Linked DNA regions of Bombyx mori. The protein of the gene in region 2 interacts with the protein of the main gene of each other region in a biochemical or structural test. Links are inferred from orthologs where the notes say so. Each region holds a gene or a part of one and is shown on either strand. Other genes may lie near its edges.

The links. The genes of interacting proteins can lie anywhere in the genome.
Region 1: the proteins of cytoplasmic protein NCK1 (region 2) and Bmptp-Z form a complex in vitro, tested with the Drosophila melanogaster proteins (2 studies listed by BioGRID, with this or other methods). The link is inferred for Bombyx mori from reciprocal best matches to the Drosophila melanogaster genes dock and Ptp61F.

The regions. Positions count from the first base shown.
Region 1 is NC_085107.1:1,847,065-1,851,164, reverse strand, and holds the start of Bmptp-Z (protein tyrosine phosphatase), read right to left. Parts: upstream 2,911-4,100; 5' UTR 2,666-2,910; coding exon 2,588-2,665; intron 617-2,587; coding exon 455-616; intron 1-454. UniProt on the Drosophila melanogaster protein: Non-receptor protein tyrosine phosphatase. Required for maintaining dock/dreadlocks in its non-phosphorylated state. Negative regulator of InR/insulin-like receptor signaling through dephosphorylation of tyrosines when recruited by dock/dreadlocks.
Region 2 is NC_085110.1:18,088,772-18,092,992, reverse strand, and holds the start of cytoplasmic protein NCK1, read right to left. Parts: upstream 2,835-4,221; 5' UTR 2,433-2,834; coding exon 2,328-2,432; intron 1-2,327. UniProt on the Drosophila melanogaster protein: Adapter protein that links cell surface receptor tyrosine phosphorylation to downstream signaling pathways and effectors, many of which are involved in regulation of the actin cytoskeleton.

The DNA.
Region 1 (4,100 bases), on a different chromosome or scaffold from region 2:
TTTTAGAATTGAGATAATTGATATGATTAAATAATCATCAATTGTCGAGCGGCGTATTTTCCGTTAATATTTTAGGTCGAAATATTTTCAAAAATACAGCAGTGAAGTATGTAAAATATTTCGATTCTAAACATATTTATGAGATCTATATTAGTATAATGCAGAATTGCTTGCGACGAAGGGCTCGGCGATTAAATTAACCTATACACACAGCCCACTGAGTTTCTCGCCGAATCTTCTCGATGGGTCGCGTTTCCGATTCGGTGGTAGATTCTGCGAAGCACTGCTCTTGCTAAGGCCAGTGTGAGCAACACCTCCGGTTTGAGCCTCGAAGTTCACCTATACGCTAGGTTAAGCTGAATTAGCCTCTCAAGGCTATCAGCATAAGTAGGAAAAAAATCAAAAAGGTACGTTCGGCTGTAAAAAAAAAACAAACGAATAAACAAAAACTTACCCTAACGAGATTAGCGTTTATGTAATCGTTCTCGCTACGCTGTAGGACGATGCGGCTGTGGTCGTACGGGTTCACGTCGCGGTAGCGGTTCAGCGCCTTGTTGTGAGGCCTCTTCGCCTCCACACAAGTGTACGGGAGCTTTTGACACTCCTGACCGACCCTCTGCAAAATATCAACAGTTTAGCATCTCGGAATACGACTTCAACGCTATACTACATACTACTACTACGTAGGAAAACTGCGCTCGTATTCATAATTATAGCTATTGTTGATTTCACTTTTGCATGATATATATAGTATGTCTGGAGGAAATTTTTTATTTGGGGTCGCGCTAATAGCGAGATTGGTGGCCTAGTTATCTTAAAGCGGAAATTAGCAATTAAAAATTCTTTGTCTCGAAATCCATTGTGGGTGTGGCTTCAGTCGTATGCTTTTGAATGCAGAGACAATTGCGATAGTTCGCCTTATTATCTCATAATATCGCGGGTAGAAATGCGGTTGTCGTTTTCGGAGAAACAACATAGATAGGGAAAATATTGACTAAAATTAAAAATTATGAGGTAGATAATAATGTTTTCAGATTATTTTGTTATGTTCACAACTTTAATTGGCATTTGCACAAATATAAGTTAAAATGTAATATTCCGGGTATTTGTAATGTTAATAGTTTTGTTGTAATTTTATAAGAGAAATAAGTATTAGACAAAAATATGATTCAATATGAATATTTGTTATTTTTGTTGTATATGAATATTTGTTCAATATGAATAGTTAAATCTAAGTAACCAAACAAAAAGGTATTAAAAATAAAAAATTACATAACATTTTACTGCTGTGACTATCTTAATTGTGATCCGATAGTATTTTTTGCTTAAATTTCTTTCTTAAATTGAGCTATTATCTGCAAATAGGCTATATTGTTGCCTGCTATTTAGGTTCATATCTATTAAAAAATGATATTTGAAATTTTTCAAAATTATTCCAGAATCTATAATTTTCTAATACAACCTATTTAGAAGAATTACTTTACTACCAAATCTGCCTGTCAAGCTGTACAATACATATGCTGCAGTTACATTACATGATGCAATTTGTTATACAGATATATGTATGAATTAAATGTATATTTTACAGTTTCAAATATTGTAACTGTAATTTCACATGTACCATTTCTTATTTAAATTATATTTTTATTATACTTATTATTATACTTATTCTGTTTTTAATATTGTAGTGGCATGTAGTCTTATTTTATTCTTTAACACTATCAGTCAATTTATATAATCGATACAATTTATTTACAGGTATACTGAAATGGTAATTTTTATTCTATAATATTTTAGAAATAATCAATCTTAAAATATTTAAATTAAAGTCATATCTTGCGATTTATAATTACAATAAATATGCAATCATAATATCCATAATTATTGAGTCCACCCGAAAAAAAAACAAAATACCCACATCAAATAAAATAAAAGTGGATTGTGCAAAGGTAGATCTGATTTTAGTAGTACCAGTATTTAATTTTTTATTTGGCTTTTACATAAGAGCATTCAATATGCTCTGATACTAAATTTGATTAGATGAAAGTTCCTTTTAAACGTGAGAGTAATTGAGTTAGTACTCAGTTAAATGTTGGTTGACATTTTTTAAATAAATAAAACAATGCTTCTGACAAAAAATGTAACTGTGGTTTCCTTTTTTATATATATTTTATGAACACCAAAAAACAAGAAGATTGATTAATTTCATAAAAAATATATTTGAAACCTACTAATCAGTAAAAAATTTATGTAAATTTAAAGGTTTACAGTAATATTTGAATGATAAGACAGTTTGCACGACAAAAGCGGAATTTCTTTTACTTCTAAACAAGTTTTATACCTGCATTGCCAGTTTTAAAAACTACGAAAACTTTAATAAAAAGTTGATTATACGGAAAAAGTTTCATGCGAAACGCATTCCGTAAATCTATTTGAAGAATTACAGTCCAGATTTGATAAAAAAGTCAACAATAATAACCGAATTACCCGAACATTATAAACGGCAAAATGTAAACACGGTTGCAACTTCTTTTGAAAGTTATGATGCGTGGCGCCTTGGAGCGCGTCATCTCATTCCACTACTAACCTGATAAATCAGGGGCCACCCATTCCTGTGCATGATATCCAGATATTCGGCTTCAATGCTGTTCAACTTCGGATTCATCGTAACTAATTTTTCATCTCACGCTGAATCTCAACAAAGGTGAATACCGCTCAGCCCGCGGTTTTTAACTCCACTGAAAAATTATTTCTATTGAGAAGCCGATGATGATACTCTGCAAGAAGCGTGTAGACCAATGTCGAGGTATGAAATCGGTAACACGAGAACTTCCAACGGAGTAAACGACAGAAATGATTCAATTTCACCAGAGTCGGACCTTCTGTCTGAATGAGTGCACCGCTGTCTACTTCAATGTTGTCGGTATGTTAATCGATTTCTACTATTTCTACCAACATGTCACAAAATTTTAGAAGTTTTAGGCTGTAATAAATCTTCGATTCTGTTTCACCATAGCAGCATATGAGTCGTCTATTATCAAAGGTGGCAATCTGTGCATTTGGACAAAAAATTTTTATTGATATTTCAATACAGATTTATTTGAATATAATCGTCTCCTTCAAAGAATACGGTTCAAAACCTGCATTAAATAAAGGTTAATAGTTAACCTGTTATTTATCTAAGATGTCGTTCCGAAGAGTTTTGTGACTGCCAATGGAATACAAAGTCAATAATTCGTTTTTCTGATTTACCAATCATTGTCCAAAAGTCAGATTGCCGCCTTTGATAATAGTCGACTCATATATTTAAAAATAGGCTCTTGTAGTAGACTAGATTTGTTAAATAGTAGTCAAAGAGAAATTAAAGTAAAATACTAATTAAAAGTTATATAATATAATTGATTGTAGTAACTCTTCCGAAAGTATTTAATCATAGCCTCTCCGGTCTGACTTTTTTGGACATTTTAGAATATCTCTCTGTTTAAACGTGTACCTAATAATTGTTGCCAACAGCAACTTTAATTGTACAAGTGGGAGAAAATGAACCCAATCACCAGACAAAGATCTACTGAAAATTTGGTAATATTTGTTTGGGGTAATATTGGTCTCGCTATTTTCAATTCTATTTGAAGATATGTAGACGGCACCGCTGCGTATTTAAAACCTTCACAAATCTATCCCATATTACACGTATTTTCATAATAAACTTGCATACATTACAATAAACTATATTACTAAAAGTGGCGATCATAAAATTTTACCGCCTGGGTAGAAAAATTAACTTCTTTGGAGAACACTCGCAAAAGAAACGAAGTGAATGATTATCTAAAATAAAAGTTGGCAACGACAGGAGAATTAACCAAATTAAAAGACATTACCTTAAACTAAATTTAAAAATATTTTTAAACATTTAGACACATTAGACAGGAACTTTTGTTAAAGTAATTCCGGGTAATTCGGACTTTCAAAATCAATTGCCGAAAAAACTTCGCTTCAACTTTATTCACCCTTATTTTACTGCGCAGTATAATAATAGTATGGGATAAGTCTCTTTTGCTTATCTACTAAACTGAAAAAAATTTAAAAAGCAGGAACTTTGA
Region 2 (4,221 bases):
TAGCTGAGCCACCTCCTTTTGCCTTTTTCTCTTTTTATTTTGCTTTTCTTTTTTTTTGTATTTCATTTTATGATGTGAAAGGCAATAAATGATCTTTATTATTATTATTATTATTTGTTATTGTTGTACAGCAATGTAAAACAAACATCAATCGTCAAATGTGAGGCTGTTGAACTTCTTGGTTAACAGATTTTGTGAAATCACTAACAACATTTCCAAGGTTTATTGTCTTTGTTGAGTTATAATATGTCTGTTGACTCTCTGGACACCACAATACGATGCAGTTACCAGTATCACATAATTTTATTGAATATTATAATAGAAGTGAAAAAAACAGTACAAAAAATAGGCAAATGCATCCTTCAATTCTAAGCCATAGAATACAAAAAATTCTGTCAAATACTAGGTGTTCTGTCTTTGTACAGATTTTGGTAGGCCATATTATGAGTACACATATGGGTACTAACACTCTACTGATTTCTGCTGTGAAGCAATCACACATTCTGGTTTGAAGGGTAGAATAACAGCTCTTCAAGATTTCTGTTGATTGGTGAAATTCATGGTGTCTCGATTGTAGAATGTTTTAGACAAATTACAATTAAAGTAAGTAATGAAGTTGAACAAACACAATTAACTTGAAGTTTTTTGTAAGCAGTTCTTTCCTTTCTTTTATGGTCATCCCATTCTTAGATAGACTGAGCTGAGTTCTAAGCGAAAAAGGTTTTCCATACATGGCACCTGGAAACCATGGCTTTACTCCACATTGAGAGCTTTAAGGTTTTTATTATAGAATGCACAGCCTAACCTAACAGCCCTTCAAAATATTATGGGCAGGTTGGTTGATTAATACAAGATTATGATATTGTATCATAAATTCAAATTTAAAATTTTAAACTATTATAGGATCAATAGTACACAAGTAATAATTCTACTTAATTGCATGTATAAATTCTTCAATGTTCTATAATAAAAATTGCTATCTAGTTTATTTACTTTATTGCATTGATGGGACATCTGCATAGACATCACAATGCTGAAATTAACTATATATAACTATATACTAGCATCCATTTGAAGGTTCGCATAGTTGATTATGGGTCTTAACAAATTGATTTTAACCCAATTTATTACAGCTGCAACCAAGAACTACCTCTTTATAAAGTTTCTTTGTGTGGTGGTATTTCAGTTTCATCAGGCATAATGAAATAGTAAATATTTGTGATGTGATTGATATGATACTAGTCTTTTCAAGTGATAAATATATTCTTGAAAATTTGCATAAACTAACAAATAAGAAAGAGTTGCTTCCAAAAAAAAACAATACAGCATTTCTTCAGATTTTAAGTCAAAGGGCTCCTAAAATTTGACTTTTTAACACTAAGCATATATAGGTCTATTTAACCATTTAGAGCTTTTGTAAAATTTATATAGCTTAATACATTTTTCAAACAATAATACAGTCCTTAGAATATGCATATACATAATATTTTCAACTCTTTACTTCTAGTTATTTTTTCTCTTTTCCAAGAAAAACCAGACTAAAAAACAATTTCATGCAAAAATAAAGAAGTTCACAAACTTCTCTACATACATAACTACAGTTATATATGATTTTTTTTATACCAAATACAAAAGACAACTTAACAACATCCAAACCAACTGCCTCTTAACTTTCTAGAAGAAAGTCACAAATGAAATCTCAAGTGGCACACTACACTTTAATTGGATCAACTTTTAATCTTGGATTGGATTTTAATTTTAAATATTGATCTTTATTTATGGATACTTACTTTGTTTTTGGACAAGAGACTGAATCTCTACCTGTTGCATAAGCATATCTGATTTCGATTTACAGATTTGCAGATTAATAACAGAAAAAAAAAGAATCATTAAAATATTAAAAATGATTTTTTAATTAAAACCTATACTTTATATACTTTTTTAATTAAAGTTGCCTGAGTGTGGTAGGAATAGGTATACAATAACTCTCAGTATGTTCAGTGTTAAAATATTTGTAATTTCTACATTATCTTATCATTATCAATGTTTATTTACTGATATATATTTACTAAAGTATACATTGATTTGTTCATTGTGGTTGTTTTTAGTAGATTTAAAATAAATCCAATATAAATCCAAATGGGGTTTATAACTCTTGAAAACTTCTCATAACCACTGGGTGGTTTCAAAACTGATCTGAATACTAAACCATCAGAAGATACTTGAGCAGTAGCTCTGTATATAGTGATAATGATAAAAAGCGTATAATCTATTGTATTAAACTTGCTCATGTATATTCTTGATCACCTATCAGTCTGAGTACACACCTGAGCGTTCTTCCCGTGCCTCGTATTGGCCATGGCGTTAGGTGCTGGCAGCGGCTTACTAGCCCACACCGAATCTGCGGCGCGCGCCGACCGCGTCTCCAGCATGACACCCTCAGCGGGTCGCCTTCGGCCGCTGGCCTTTCACTGATACATTGCAACGCCCACTAAACTACACTCACTGTTTGACGCTGACGGACCGATTAGTCTCAAAGTCTCTGCAATGTAGAGACAGCGAGCCTCCGAATTGTTTTGATTAATTAAGCCTTGCGAATCTTGGATCAAAAGTAAACTATCTGCAGCTGAACATTCCCGTAGCACCCGAGTAAGGTCTAAGAATACTAGGTTCTTAAGAATATTTTCTGAGCTTACAGAATATCTATTGCATTTAATTGTAGCTATTTTATTGAATTTTTCAATGAAAACCTTAAAAACTAAATTTTTTTATTAAATGATTTCACTTTCCTCCACAGATCTCGGTGGGGCAAACGACGGATCAATAGACAATTCAATTTTTTTCCATAAAAAAATTGATTTCATAGACAATATTAGAAATTACTTTTTTTTCCTACCTAAGCTGATGATCTAGAGAGAATTAGCGTATCCGAGCCAGTAGGTAGGTGAGCTCACGGGGCTCAAACTTGACGATGTTTCTAACGTGAACCCTAGCAAGAGCCGTGCTTCGCAGAATCTACCACCGGATCGGAAACGCGATCCACTGAGAAGATCCGGCGAGAAATCCGGGCTAGAAATTACGATTTACGAAGCATGCTTGATTATAGGAGAGAACTTAGAGTCAATACTTTTAGATCTGTTTTTTTTTGTTTGGTCTGATAAAACACAAAAGTAAGCCATCAGTTTTAGTAACATAATTATTCTGACAGGAACGCGAAAAGAGAAGTTTGTGGTTTTACTGTGAAACATCTCTATGACGAGTCGTCATGTGCAAGCAACAGTTTCTTAATATTAATGTTTTCTTTTTCATTATTCCACATGGATTTTCTGTCTTATAATATCCTTGCATCTATACCCATACAAAATTATATCAATGCTTTACATCTGCCAGCCTAGCCGTCCCGGAATGGAAATTTTTATATGCAAAATTTGTTAGATTTGGGATCAAATAAAGTAGCTCTTCTTCTAAAATTATAAAGCTTAGAATTTTCGGCGAATAAAAAGAAGTTTTTAAGTTGAACACAAAATAACGAAAACTTAAACTAGTGCAAGTTAAAAGAGTGCAAATTTTTTTGTGGATCAAATTTGAAGGCCCTTCTAAAACTCCATACATATACTCATTTAGCTTTAAAAACATATATTATGCGTGTAACTCACACGTGGTAGAAGTGAAATCTTCAAAAATTTTGGCTTCAAGTTAATGTAAAATTTCAGGGAGAGGATAATTATGTATGTTTTAAAATAGTAATGTTCATAGTGATACAAAGTTTGATATTTATTTTACACTTTATTCGTTTAAATTACATAGATTTATTCAATATGTATTAAGTACGAATATTAGGTACGAAGCAGAGCACAAAGAGAACCACGAATTTAAGAAACACTAATGCTACTTCATTTTCTCCCACGTTAAATCTTAAAAATTTAAGTGTCTGTCTCTTTCTACTATCGCTTTTTCTGTTCATCGACTTTCGAATCACAACGATGATAAAGAAGCTTTCACTTAAAAAAGACAATAACATTTTTTTTGCAATAGCAGTTTAAAACTGTTGGTGACAAACGTGTTGCGCACTTTACTCGTATTATTAGTTTATCAAGGTAACATGAACAAAAATAAGTTTGTGGAATAGAATTTTAAATAGACGTATTCCTACCGTTAGTACACCGAAATAAGGTCTAAAAGGAACATGACTGAATGATTTACATTTATAAAGAAAAAAAT